Macaca fascicularis: one gene and its partners. The protein of the gene in region 2 interacts with the protein of the main gene of each other region in a pairwise test. Links are inferred from orthologs where the notes say so. Each region holds a gene or a part of one and is shown on either strand. Other genes may lie near its edges.

Region 1 (4,102 bases), on a different chromosome or scaffold from region 2:
TAAGGGACGAGATTACAGAGAGTGCCCATCAGCTCCTGGCACATAGCAGTGCTCAGTCAGGAGTAGCAATCATTACCACAAAGCCTGGCTTCCTGCACCGACAGGCCAGGGGCTCTCACAGACAGTGAGACAGTGCCAGAGACGTCCTGCCACAAATACCAGGAGGCTTTGCCACTTCTTCGTCTCACAGCAGACAGCCTTTAGGGTCAAGCCCATCCACCACCCTGGGGTGCCCCCACCCTCACCCTACAGGAGTGCAGGTGTGAGAAGCATGGCTGTTGGCCAAGGTGTGAGCACCAAACTCTGGGGAGCACCCCTAAGGATGACGCTGGGGAGGACTACAGAGGAAACCACACCTTCATATCTGGGGAGTATTGGTTTTACCTTCAATCTCCGAACTGCTTAGATAAAACAGAGTGAAAGGAGGGATGAAAATGTGGAGTGAAGGGAGAACTTGAAACCTTACAGATAGAAAAGTGTAGGTTAGGCTGGGTGCAGTGGCTCACGCCTGTAATCCCAACACTTTGGGAGGCTAAGGTGGGAGGATCACTTGAGGCCAGGAGTTTGAGACCAGACTGGGCAAAATAGTGACACCCTGTCTCTATATAAAATTTTTTAAGAACAGGAGATTAAAAAGCAAAAAAAAAAAAAAAAAAGGCCAGGTACAGTGGCTCACGCCTGCAATCCCAGCACTTTGGGAGAGTGAGGCAAGTGGATTACCTGGTTAGGAGTTCAAGACCAGCCTGGCCAACGTGGTGAAACCTCGTCTCTACTAAAAATACAAAAATTAGCCGGGCATGGTGGCGTGCACCTGTAGTCCCAGCTACCCGGAAGGCTGAGGCAGGAGAATTGCTTGAACCTGGGAGGCGAAGGTTGCAGTGAACCGAGAACGCGCCACTGCACTCCAGCCTGGGCGACAGAGCCGAGAGAAAGGGAGACTAAGTCAGCATCCGTGGAGTTACTTTTGGGGGAAGCAAAGTGTAAGTTTCCCTGGCTTTACTGCAGATAAGAGATTGACACCTAAATACCCTTATCTGCAGTAAAGCCAGAGACCTTAAGAACGCTCTGAAGGAAACATCACACGTTCAGTCAATTTGATATTACATGTGTGCGGGCCACAACGTCCCAGATACCTGGAGACTACCCTCTTCTCTGTGTTCTTCTAGTTTCTAGCCAAACATTTGGACCTGCTACAAAGACAAGCACACAGAAACGCTCTGGGAGAGGGGAAGAGCTGGGGGATTAGAGCCAAGCGGACATACCCCTCCCTGCAAATAGGATATGTATAGGGGTGCCATCCTGACGCGGGGGTTAAAGTGTTCGCTGTCTAAAGGATTTCTCCCACTCTGATGGATGGCCTTTAAGTATTTCAAAAGGTGATTCCAACCTGCAAGGCCAATACCGTCTTGAAAAGGGACCTTAGAAGTCTCACCGCACGCCACGGGGGTGGGACCCTTTCCTGAAGGCTTTCATAACTCTCCATCCCTTTTCAGGGAGAGGGCACTGGCACAGGCGTCCCCTGCACCATGCCCGGGATGTTACCTCGCTTGAACTCCTCCAGGACAGCGTCCAGCTTGGTGTCGTTGAAGACGAAGTGGAGCGGATGGTTGTAGAAACGAGTGATGGTGCTGAGCGGCGTGCAGTCTTCAGGATCCACGAAGGCCAAGTCCTTGAGGTAGAGCATGTCCACGATGTTGGAGCGCTCCTCCTCGTACACGGGGATGCGCGTGTGGCCGCTCTGCATGATGCTGGCCAGGACGCCGAAGTCCAGCACGGTGCTGGCGTCCAGCATGAAGCAGTCTTCGAGGGGCGTGAGCACGTCCTCCACGGTCCGGCAGCGCAGCACGCCCTTGCTGAGATCGCTGTAGGGGTCGCCGCCGCCGCGCGCCAGCTCCAGCACCCGTTCCCGCAGCCGCCCGGGCCGCGCTGCCAGCTCCAGCAGCTGCCCCACGGGCAGCGCCACGGGCAGAGTGAGCAGGACGGCCAGGCGGCTGAGGCCGAGCGCGCGCGGCGCCAGCACCAGCGTCCAGCGACCGCTCACGGCGGCCGGCACCACCTCGCCCACCAGGAACACGAGCCCCGCGCTGCCCAGCACAGCAGGCACCGCACGCTGGCCGGCCGCGCGGTACAGCAGCACCGCCAGCGCTGCCTGCGCCAGGCTGGCCAGCAGCAGCAGCGCGCCCAAGGCGCAGCCGGCCCAGCGCCGCGCGGGCTCCAAACGCCGCGCCGCCGCACGCTCCGCCTCCGAGCCGCTCTCGCGCAGCACCTGCACCTCCGCCGGCGCCAGCGCCAGCGCGCTCAGCTGCAGGCCGCGCGCCAACGCTGCCAGCGCCAGCAGCCCGGCCGCCCCCAGGCCCAGAGCCCAGGGAGGCGCCGCCTCCTCGGTCGCCCCGCCACCCGGCTCCACGCGCACCGCCAGCAGCGCCGAGTGCGGGCGCACGGCCTCGGTCCGCAGGCGCAAGCGCAGCAGCGCGCGCCACTCGCCCGCGGGGGCGGCCGCCTCCTCCCGGCAGCCCGCCCCCTCGGGGGCCACCCAGGACCAAGAGCTGTTGGCGAAGCCCGGGCCGAAGAGGCGCAGGAGGAAGGTGGCGTCCGGCGTGTCCCGCGCCGCCCCTCCGCGTACCCACCCCGCGCCCGCCGCTCCATCCTCCTCCAGACAGAAGCCCAGCACTCGCGGGCCCGGCGCGGCGTCCCCCGCGGCGTTGCCCAGGCAGAGCGCGGCGAACAACCAGCCTAACACACCCGCCGCCGCTGCCGCCGCCGCCATCGCCTGCCGCCCCCTCTCGGCCTCTCGCGCAGCCTACCCCGCTCGCCCCGCGCCTCCCCGGGCCAATCGTTGCCGGTCTTCGCGCTTCCTCGGCCAATAGGCGGTGGACAGGGGCGGGCCCCAGGGTCGGACTAGGCTGCGCCGGGGAGTAAACAAGCGGCCGCTAGGGGCGGGCCGGGGGCGTGGGGCTCTGGGCCCGGCCGGGTCTGCGGCAGCTCCGGATGCGCGGGGTGGCCGTGGCCGGGAGAACGCGGGGCGGCGGGCAGGGCCTCCCCAGCCCGGCTGTCCTCGGCCCGCGCGCGGCGCCCGGCTGTCCCCCGCGCCCGGAGGCCGCGCCAATGCTCTGGGAAGTGCCCGGCTCTGGAGCGGAGCTGCCGCTCGGAAGAACCTCGGGTCCTGGCGCGCCTGAAGTTAAAGACCGGACGGAGAGTTAAATGTGCGAGAGATGTGCCTTTTTCTTAGGAAAGACCACCGGGTGCCAGAAAGGTTTTCGACGCGCCGACCTACGGTGCTAAGAGGGCTGAAGTAAGAACCAGTGACCGAGCGCCCGGAGGTGAAGTTGATGGAAGATGTTCATCGCTCCGGACCCTGCTGGAGGTCTGGGGACGTCGGACACAGCCCCTGCGGTCCCGCTGCGGACCCCGCGATAAACACGCAGACACACAAAATCACTACCGCCTTGAGTCTGGACAGCTACCTCAGGTTGTTAGTATCTTACAGGAGCAGAGCGGAGCTCGGACCGACTTAGTGTGCGTGCTGGGTTCCGGCGCCCCCGGCCTGCCACCCAGGTCAGCATCGCAGCCACGCAGGGAGGCGGCAGTTCTGTCTACGGAATGACTACCTCTGGTGATTCCACTTCTCATAGCTCGCCGCTGGGAGGAAAGTACCACCTCGGGACTCACAAGATCTATTCCAGAGGATCCGCACTGGTGAATTGATTTTAGAAGACAGTGTGGTCTGTTGACAGTATGGAAGGTTCTTTACCCATTAGATATGATCTGTCTGTGATTGGAAGGAAACAGACCAGATGCTAACACTTCTCTGTAGATGTTCAGATTCAGTAATTTTTGTATTTTTCTCTACACTTTTGTTTTTTCAAATTTCCTAGCACAGGAAGACTTTGACTTACTGCGCATGTCATTTTAAATGACCTTTATAAAAACTATAGAAACAATTTGCTATGTCATGAAAGTAACATTCAAATAAAGTATGCACATTGTGGCCACAAAGTAAAACTTGTGTGGAAAGTAATGTGCAAAAAAAAAAAAAAAAAAATTAAGTAAGCTGGTGGTGAATGGCCAAAGGAAAAGACTTTGTAAAAAACTTTTTAAAAGA
Region 2 (4,007 bases):
CCTCTGAACGCACTGGTCTAGGTGGCTACTCAGGATCAGTGCAGGGGGCCTGCACACCACTAGGGGCAACAGTACCTTGAACAGGCTGTTCGTCTCACCTGGGGTTCTAGTTTGTTATCAAGCAAAAGGGGCTCACTGCCCAATATGCTAGAAGCCAATACTGACACCAAGTTTTTGAAAAAAAGAAAAGCTTTATATTAAAAGTCACCTCTGAAGGAGGCAGGAGTCAAGCTCAAATTTGTCTCTCTGTGCTGGCATTAAAGCAGTATTTTTATTGGAAAAGGTTCAGGGGGTGGATTCTGAGATTAGCAGGTGATTGGTACAAGGAAAAGGGAGGTCTGGAAAGTCCTTGGGCATGCACAGTTATTTCTTCATGTTAACTCCTGAGTTGCATGTGCAAATTCAGGGGGAATTAGTACAAAACATGTGGTGGAAATTCAGGCTACGACATCAGCAAGCTTATTGTGTGCAAGCTCCAGTCAGCCATTTTGGTTCCAACCAATTTCCGCCAGGTTTTTCTAGATCTCACAAGTGGAGGGAGTTTCAGCAGCTTAAATTTCTTTTCTTATCTGCTATCCCGAAACTCAAAAATTTCTGTTAGTTACTGATTTCTTACTCTTTGGGACTTTCCATATCTCCCATTTCCATCTACCAATCACCTACTAATCTCGGAATCTACCCCCGGAAACTTTTCTAATAAAAATACTGCCTTAATGTCAGCACCGAGAGACCGGTTTGAGTTTGACTCTTGTCTCCTTGGGAGTTGACTTTGAATATACAAGTTTTTCTTTTTTAAAGAACGTAGTGTTTTAGTATTGGCTTCTATTGCATTGGGCAGTAAGCCCCTTCAGCTCTATCACACTAACTCCAGGTAGATAGCATCAGAATGAAATGGAATTGTAGGGCACACAGTTGATGTCAGAGAATTAAGGAATTGAGTAGTGTCAGAAAACACCTCAGACTATACTTTCTCGCTTGGTGTGGGAAGAGTTCAGTTGTGTTTCCTTCTTCTTGAGTGACCGAACTCCAAGAAGACGCCACTTCTGGAGAGAAACTAGGGGTCTCAACTTAGCCTGGCAGTGAGAATACAAATGGCAGCTGGGATGACCCAACAGGGGGCTAATGTTTGAGCTATTGTGTGTCACACTGACCCTGACCGGCCAAGTAGTCACAGCCCCCACAGGTTCTTCCTGCCTGTCAGATGCCTCATTCCCACCTGTGATGCTCAGACAGAAACCATGAGCCCTGAAAAACACCCTATTGTTTTGTGATGTCACCTCTGGAATGTTCTGAGTGTTTTGGTGACCAACTTCTGCATAGGACCTATACCTGGCAACTCACATTGGTATGGCTTTTTACTTGAGATAGAAATAATCATCTTAGGCAAGCAGGTACAGTTATCTCCGCGTCAAAGACTTTCAAAAGTCTTTTACATCAACTATAATATCTAGCTTAATATCTGTTCAGAGATTGATAAACCGTCTTGCCAGATATCGTCTACACATTCTTCCAGACTTTCATAATTGTACATAACTGACAAGAGGGAAATAAATGAGGAGAAAGTTCTATGTTTTTTAGGTGAGCAATTGAGGCCCAGAGGATGAGTTGGGAAGCAGCAATCTTCTTCTTTTCTCTTTTCCACAGCACTCAAGGCCAAATTTTACAAGAAAAAGAGATACCAGATCTGAAAGCCTAGAAATTCCAATCAATGTGGTTCTACCTCAGGTAGGGATAATCACAGAGGATGTAACCTATCGGTGTTAGCCAGAATAACCCCCTACCTCCTCCTTCAAAACTCTAGCAAGATGTTGTAGAATAAGCAGAGATAGGGCTTCAGGTTCTAGTTTGGGTTGGCTGCCAGCAGGCAGCGTGCTGGGGAAGGCCACATAGCCCCTGTGGGCCTTGGGTTCTTTTTCCCACGAATGAGGTGGTTGGGTCAGATGGTTTGGTAAGAACTTCCAGTCCTAACATTCCAAGTTTCTATGATACTCTGAAGTAACCCAACCTTCTCAAAACGAGACCTTTTGGTGCTTAGTGTTGTGCATTCACTTTGGATTTCTAGAGGAGAATTAGAACTGGGACTTGGAATCAAATGCATAAGAATGAATCCATGAGAAGAAAACCTCCTTCATGGACAGAGGGGTACAGAGTTATTTGGAGTTGTCAAGAGAATTAAGCCCTGCTATGCACCAAAGACAGATGTAGGGGCCATGGGCATAGATGCTTTTGTGGTCAATGAATTGGTGAAGTCCTCACAGGCTAGAGATTCTCAGGTCTCCTCCTGCCTGAAATCAGCTCTTTCCTTAGTGGAGTCTTCTTGATTGAATTGTGTCTACTGATGCTATGTCACAAAGGGGTGGCTTTGCTTTCTCCAGAGTCACCTAAGGCCTCATTGGAAGACCAGGGCCATGCAACCAGAGGGGTTGAAATGTAGGATGGAGGAATCCAAAGCAGAGGTAACTATCTGAGAGCTCTGTCCAGGGATGTGTAGGAGGAGGATTGACCACTGGTGAGCATTCCAGATATAATTGTAACAATCTAGGCAAGTATGTTCAGTGGGAGGCAAACATATGGAAGAAGAAAACATCCTGGATGTTTATTTTCACATTATCTTTATAACTTTGTAATGAACAGTCACTTTTCTATGACTTGAATCTTAGCTAGAATATAAGATAACTTCCCCCTGATCATTCGACAGGATAACAAGCTGTAGGAATCTTTTTGGGCCTGATTCTTTCCACCTGAAATATGCAGGGAGTTGTGTTGGCCACTGCTTCCCCAAGAGTGGGTGTTACTGCTGTGATGCCTCATGGCCCATATAAACCAATCTTTTCTTCCAGAATCCTGGGGCCTCTCAACTTTACATGCTTTGAAAGTACCTCAGATGGCTGAACGTTCTCTGATAGTAACCCTCAGTAATGTTGGCAAAGTTGGTGTTTAAGAAACTTGGTCAGGCAGAGGATGCCAACCTAGAGGTGGGTGTGAAGGAGGGGATAGGATTTGAAAGAGTAGTGGTCATGTGATAGAGAAATTGGAATGATGTTTCCATCAACACCTACCGTAACTTTCCCTCCCCAGCTCCCAGAAACAGCCCAGCAATCAAAGAGAAGAGAATGTGGTTTAAGACAGCTCAAGCTTGTCTTGGGGCTGCCTGATTACTGTTCTGGAGGACCTGGTGCTGCTGCTGGGGTCCTGTGGGGGCAGAGTGGGTGAAGAATGAGAGGATATCTCCTGTCTGGGCATGTGTACCTCTCACGGGAAGGTGTATACACCTGCCAAGAGGGCACAAGCCATGCACCAGGTTTTGGACACCTGTCAGGATGCTCAAGACTGGCACTCTGGGGACGGGTGTGGGTGTCTACAAGTAGATAATCTGAACCAAAATACCACCAGGGCTGCGAGAGGGACCAATGTGCTCACTCGGCCTCCCTAGATGAGATGGTGCATGGCTTAGGGGACAGGGTTGATCTGGGAAGCAAGGAGAGGAAGAAATATCGACTGAATGTTAGTGCGATCATGTGTTGAGCACGGTGCCAAGTAAGTGTGAGGTAGAGATTTTACAGGTACAGGAACTGGCAACCCCAGGAACCCCACTAGTAATGGCAGAGATGGAGGAAGGGGCTTGAACTCCAATCAGTGCCCATGTTCTCCGCTATACCAGGGCACATGCCACTAAGCTGGGCCACGCTGCATCTTAGCTCTGTGGTTCTTCTTTTGCTCTTTGGAGATGGAGTCTTCTCCCCGCATCTTAACCGCTCATCTCTGGGCTTCTTATTTTGTATTTGCCAAAAGCTACTCTATTCTGGGATGGAATCCACTTTCCATTTGTTTCAGAAAGGACTTGTGGCAGCAGCTCTGTCTCTAGAAAGTGCCTCTGCTTCCCAGCTCCCAGTCCTGCTGTGTGTTTAGGCTTCTCAATTACATTGCAAATGCCTGTGATCACTACTTGTTATCACCCTTAGGTCTTTTCAGGACGCATTGATTTCCCGTTTTTCTTCCTCACATTA
Region 3 (4,054 bases), on a different chromosome or scaffold from region 2:
GGGTGACCAGTTCAACGTTGGACAGGAAAGTTGCTGGGCAGATGGCCATTCAAAAGTATGTTTTGTGCAAGGTTGGGGTTTTTGCAGAATCTTTGTGATAGTTTTCATTATCAGATATTTATGCATGAGAACCCTCTTGTCATGGTTTTCTCCGACTCTGTCCGGGTTTTTTTGTTCTGTTTTTTTTTTAACACAAGTGACTCCAATTAGATTAACAACTTTTGCATTCTCAGGACACTCACAGCCTAAGCCACCTCTCTACCCCTACGTTGTCAAACGCGATGGGAGTGTAGTAAGGCCACCTCCTTCCCTGGTGCTTTGTTCCCTGTAACCACGAGTAGTAATCCATCACACACCTGCTTCCCGAGAATCCTCGAGAAGGAATCGGCCGAAGGGCTTCAGCATCCAGAAAGCCCCGAAAGCGCCACAAACAAGGCTCTTCCTCGGGCTCCCCGGTGCTGCCCCGGGCGCGCGCCATCCACCCGGCTGACAAAAAGCACCAGGACATGACCCCGTCCCCTTTGATTTCTGTCCAGAGGTGGCGGACTCACCTCGGGGCTGGGATAGAGGACGGGTCGGGGTCGCTACGCTTTTTGCAAAAGGGTCAAAAGACTGATGGGGGTGGGTAAGGAGCTGACGCCCGCGCTCTAAAGGGGCGTCCTGGTCAAGGAGGCTGGGCCGCGCCCCGCCAGCCATGGGGATCCTGGAGGTGCTTCTGCCTCGACGTCCTCCCAACATGGGTGCTGCCAGACTCCGTTGCGCTCCTGAGTTGCTCCTCACGTCATTCCAGCCGCCCGACATGGGTGCCTCACTTTCGGCTTCTGGGCCACGTCGGGGCGGCGGAGGACCCGGGGGGCCGGGCGGGAGAGTGGGAAAGGTGGGGCGGGAAAGCCGAGAGAGGCCCTCACCCGCCTTCCTGTTGGCGGGGGCGGCAAGTGGGTTTCTTTCTTGCGTTCAGATTTTGCAATAATTTGCAGCTGGACATAGGATATGGGAGACAAGGCTGCTCCTCGCAGTACACCCACCCACGCCCATACCTCCCTCGGCGAAGCGTGTCGCAGCGGGTTCCAGCGCAGGCTAAAGAGCTTCCGCAGCCAGAAAACCGAAAGCGCGCCGCGCACGCGCGCCAAGGAGTTCGGCGACGGCCCCGCCCCTCGCCTGCCTCGTCCCGCCCCTTCCGCGCCTTGTAGGGTGGGGACAGCGCGGCTTCCGCCGGGAGCCTGGAACCGAGCCCGGCAGCCGGGGGCTGGGCGCCAGTACCCACTCCGCCAGCCCCAACCCGCAGACGGTTCCCTGTCTCCCGCGCCCCAATTTCGATTTTCAGACCCAACTCCTACAGGATTCTGAGACCCCGGCCCATCTCCCCACATTCCATTTCCAGCTGCAAATTACTGCAGAGTCTGAACCCAAGAAAGAAACCCATTTGCCGTCCCCGCGTCTTCCCTCGCCAGACAGGTGGAGAGTGGGTGAGGGTCTCGCTCGGCTTTCCCCCTGCACCTTTGCCACCCGCCCGCCCGTCCCTGGGGGTCCTCCGTCACGCCGGCCATGGCCCAGAAGCCGAAGTTGGACCCCCACGTCGGGCGTTTGGGATACCTGCAGGCGCTGGTCACGGAATTCCAGGAGACCCAGAGCCAAGGTGAGAGCCACGGTGGGACCAGGTGACAGGGTCGGCTGTGACCGCCGCCCGGACCTGGCTCCAGTGCCGCTTTCCCGTTGCAGACGCCAAGGAGCAAGTCCTCGCCAACCTCGCCAACTTCGCTTATGACCCCAGCAACTACGAGTATCTACGGCAGCTGCAGGTCCTGGATTTATTTCTCGATTCGCTGTCGGAGGAGAACGAGACCCTGGTTGAGTTTGCTATTGGTAAGGGCTGGGCCCGTTCGCTAGATGGCTAAATGGGCCGGGGTGAGATAAGTGAGTTACAAGTGAGTCCTTGGGGCCTGGCGTGGTGGCTCACACATGTAATCCCAGCACTTTGGGAAGCCGAGGCGGGGGGATCACCTGAGGTCAGGAGTTCGAGACCAGCCTGGCCAACATGGCAAAACCTCGTCTCTACTAAAAGTACAAAAATTAGCTGGGCATGGTGGCGAGTGCCTGTAATCCCAGCTAAGCGGGAGCAAAAATTAGCCGCACACAGTGGTGTGCACCTGTAGGCCCAGCTACTCTGGAGGCCGAAGCAGGAGGATTGCTTGAGTCCGGGAGGCAGAGGCCAAAGTGAGCTGAGACTGCGCCACTGCACTCCAGCCTGGGCGACGGAGTGAGACCATGTCTCAAAAAAAGATGTTTTAAAAAGAGCAGTTTTGTAGCCAGGCGCGGTGGCACACGCCTGTAATCCCAGCACTTTGGGAGCCCGAGGCAGGCGGATCACCTGAGATCAGGAGTTCGAGACCAGTCTGGCCAACATGATGAAACCCCGTCTCTAACTAAAAATACAAAAATTAGCCGGGCGTGGCGGGCGCCTGTAATCCCAGCTACTCGGGAGGCTGAGGCAGGAGAATCACTTGAACCCGGTAGGCAGAGGTTGCTGTGAGCCGAGGTGGCGCCACTGCACCCCAGCCTGGGCAACAGCGAGACTCCGTCTCAAAAAAAAAAACAACAACAATTTCAGGTGGGTGAGGTGGCTCACACCTGTAATGTCAGCACTTTGGGCGGCCGAAGCAGGCAGATCACTTGAGTCCTGGAGTTCAAGACCGGCCTGGCAAAAGCCCATCTCTGCTAAAAAAAAAAAAAAAAAAAATTAGTCTGGCGTGGTGTCCCAGCTACTCAGGAGGCTGAGGTGGGAGGATTGCTTGAGCCTGGGAGGACGAGGCTGCAGTGAGCTGGGATTGGGCCACTGTACTCCAGCCTGGGTGACAGAATGAGAATCTGTCTTAGAAACAAAAGTAACTCATATTTAGTGTTTTCATATCAGGAGAAGCAGAGATGGCTTGCAGTCTGTAACTTACGGCTTCTTTTGTAGTTATGATCTTAAGACCTATTGATTTATTCACTGGGCAGATATTTACTGGGCATGTACCGTATATGTAAACTACTGCTCTAAATGCTGGAGTATGGTGAACAGGTTAGGGAAAGTGTTTGTCCCTCAGGAGCTTACATTCTAGTAGGGGGGACAGGTGGTTAGCAAACAAAAAAGATGATGCTCAGCAGCAAATAAATGGGGTGATGAGAAACAGCAGTAGAAGGTGGTGGTTACTTCCGTTTTGGCCATCATGAGAAAGGCATTTTAGCAGGGACACAGCATGGGCAAAGGCCTTAAAACAGGAAGGAGCCAGAAGGAAGATGAATGTGGCAGGATCGTTATAGTGAAGTGGAGAATGGCACAAAAAGAGGATAGAGAGTTAAGCGGCACCAGAGCTTGCCGGAGCTTAGATCTAGGCCGTGGGAAATAGTTTGAAGCAGACAAAATTTTGAGAACAAACAAAAATCCCTGTTTCAAGCCATGCACAGTGCTCATCTGTAGCCCCAGATAGGAGGATCGCTTGAGCCCAGGAGTTTGAGGCTGTAGTGTGCTACGATTGCATGATTGCACCTGTAAATAGCCACCGCACTCCAGCCTGGGCAACACGCGTGTGATCACCTGGCTGAAGTCTTGTCAGGCTTCTCCACTGTAAAATTACTCTTTCTTTCCCCTCTTTACGTATTATGTATTATACCCATTGGAAGGAAGTCACTACATAAATTATCTTAAATCTTTTTCTTTTTTTTGAGATAGGGTCTCACTGTGTCACTTAGGCTGGAGTACAGTGGTGTGATCATAGTTCACCATAAATTTAAACTTCTGGGCTCTAGCAGTCTTCCTGCCTTAGCCTCCCGAGTAGCTGTGACTACAGGTGGACACCACCATGCCCGGCTTTTTTTTGTTTTTAATTTGTTTTCGAGAGGATCTCACTGTGTTGCCCAGACTGGTCTCGAACTCGGCTTTTTTTTTTTTTTTTTTTTTTTTTAATTTGTTGTCGACACACGGTCTCACCGTCTTGCCCAGACTGGTCTTGAACTCCTGGCCCCAAGAGATAAATCGCTTGTAACCCTAAACAGACCCTCATTTCATAACACT

The links. The genes of interacting proteins can lie anywhere in the genome.
Region 1: the proteins of CBY2 (region 2) and CNNM3 interact in binary tests that used the Homo sapiens proteins (3 or more experiments, as listed by UniProt). The two-hybrid records come from large-scale screens. The link is inferred for Macaca fascicularis from reciprocal best matches to the Homo sapiens genes CBY2 and CNNM3.
Region 3: the proteins of CBY2 (region 2) and ARMC7 interact in binary tests that used the Homo sapiens proteins (3 or more experiments, as listed by UniProt). The two-hybrid records come from large-scale screens. The link is inferred for Macaca fascicularis from reciprocal best matches to the Homo sapiens genes CBY2 and ARMC7.

The regions. Positions count from the first base shown.
Region 1 is NC_088387.1:1,835,677-1,839,778, reverse strand, and holds the start of CNNM3 (metal transporter CNNM3), read right to left. Parts: upstream 2,803-4,102; 5' UTR 2,768-2,802; coding exon 1,543-2,767; intron 1-1,542. UniProt on the Homo sapiens protein: Probable metal transporter.
Region 2 is NC_088391.1:24,906,738-24,910,744, forward strand, and holds the start of CBY2 (protein chibby homolog 2), read left to right. Parts: upstream 1-1,199; 5' UTR 1,200-1,270; coding exon 1,271-1,345; intron 1,346-1,644; coding exon 1,645-1,725; intron 1,726-4,007.
Region 3 is NC_088390.1:81,488,846-81,492,899, forward strand, and holds the start of ARMC7 (armadillo repeat-containing protein 7), read left to right. Parts: upstream 1-1,252; 5' UTR 1,253-1,545; coding exon 1,546-1,636; intron 1,637-1,719; coding exon 1,720-1,863; intron 1,864-4,054. UniProt on the Homo sapiens protein: As a component of the minor spliceosome, involved in the splicing of U12-type introns in pre-mRNAs.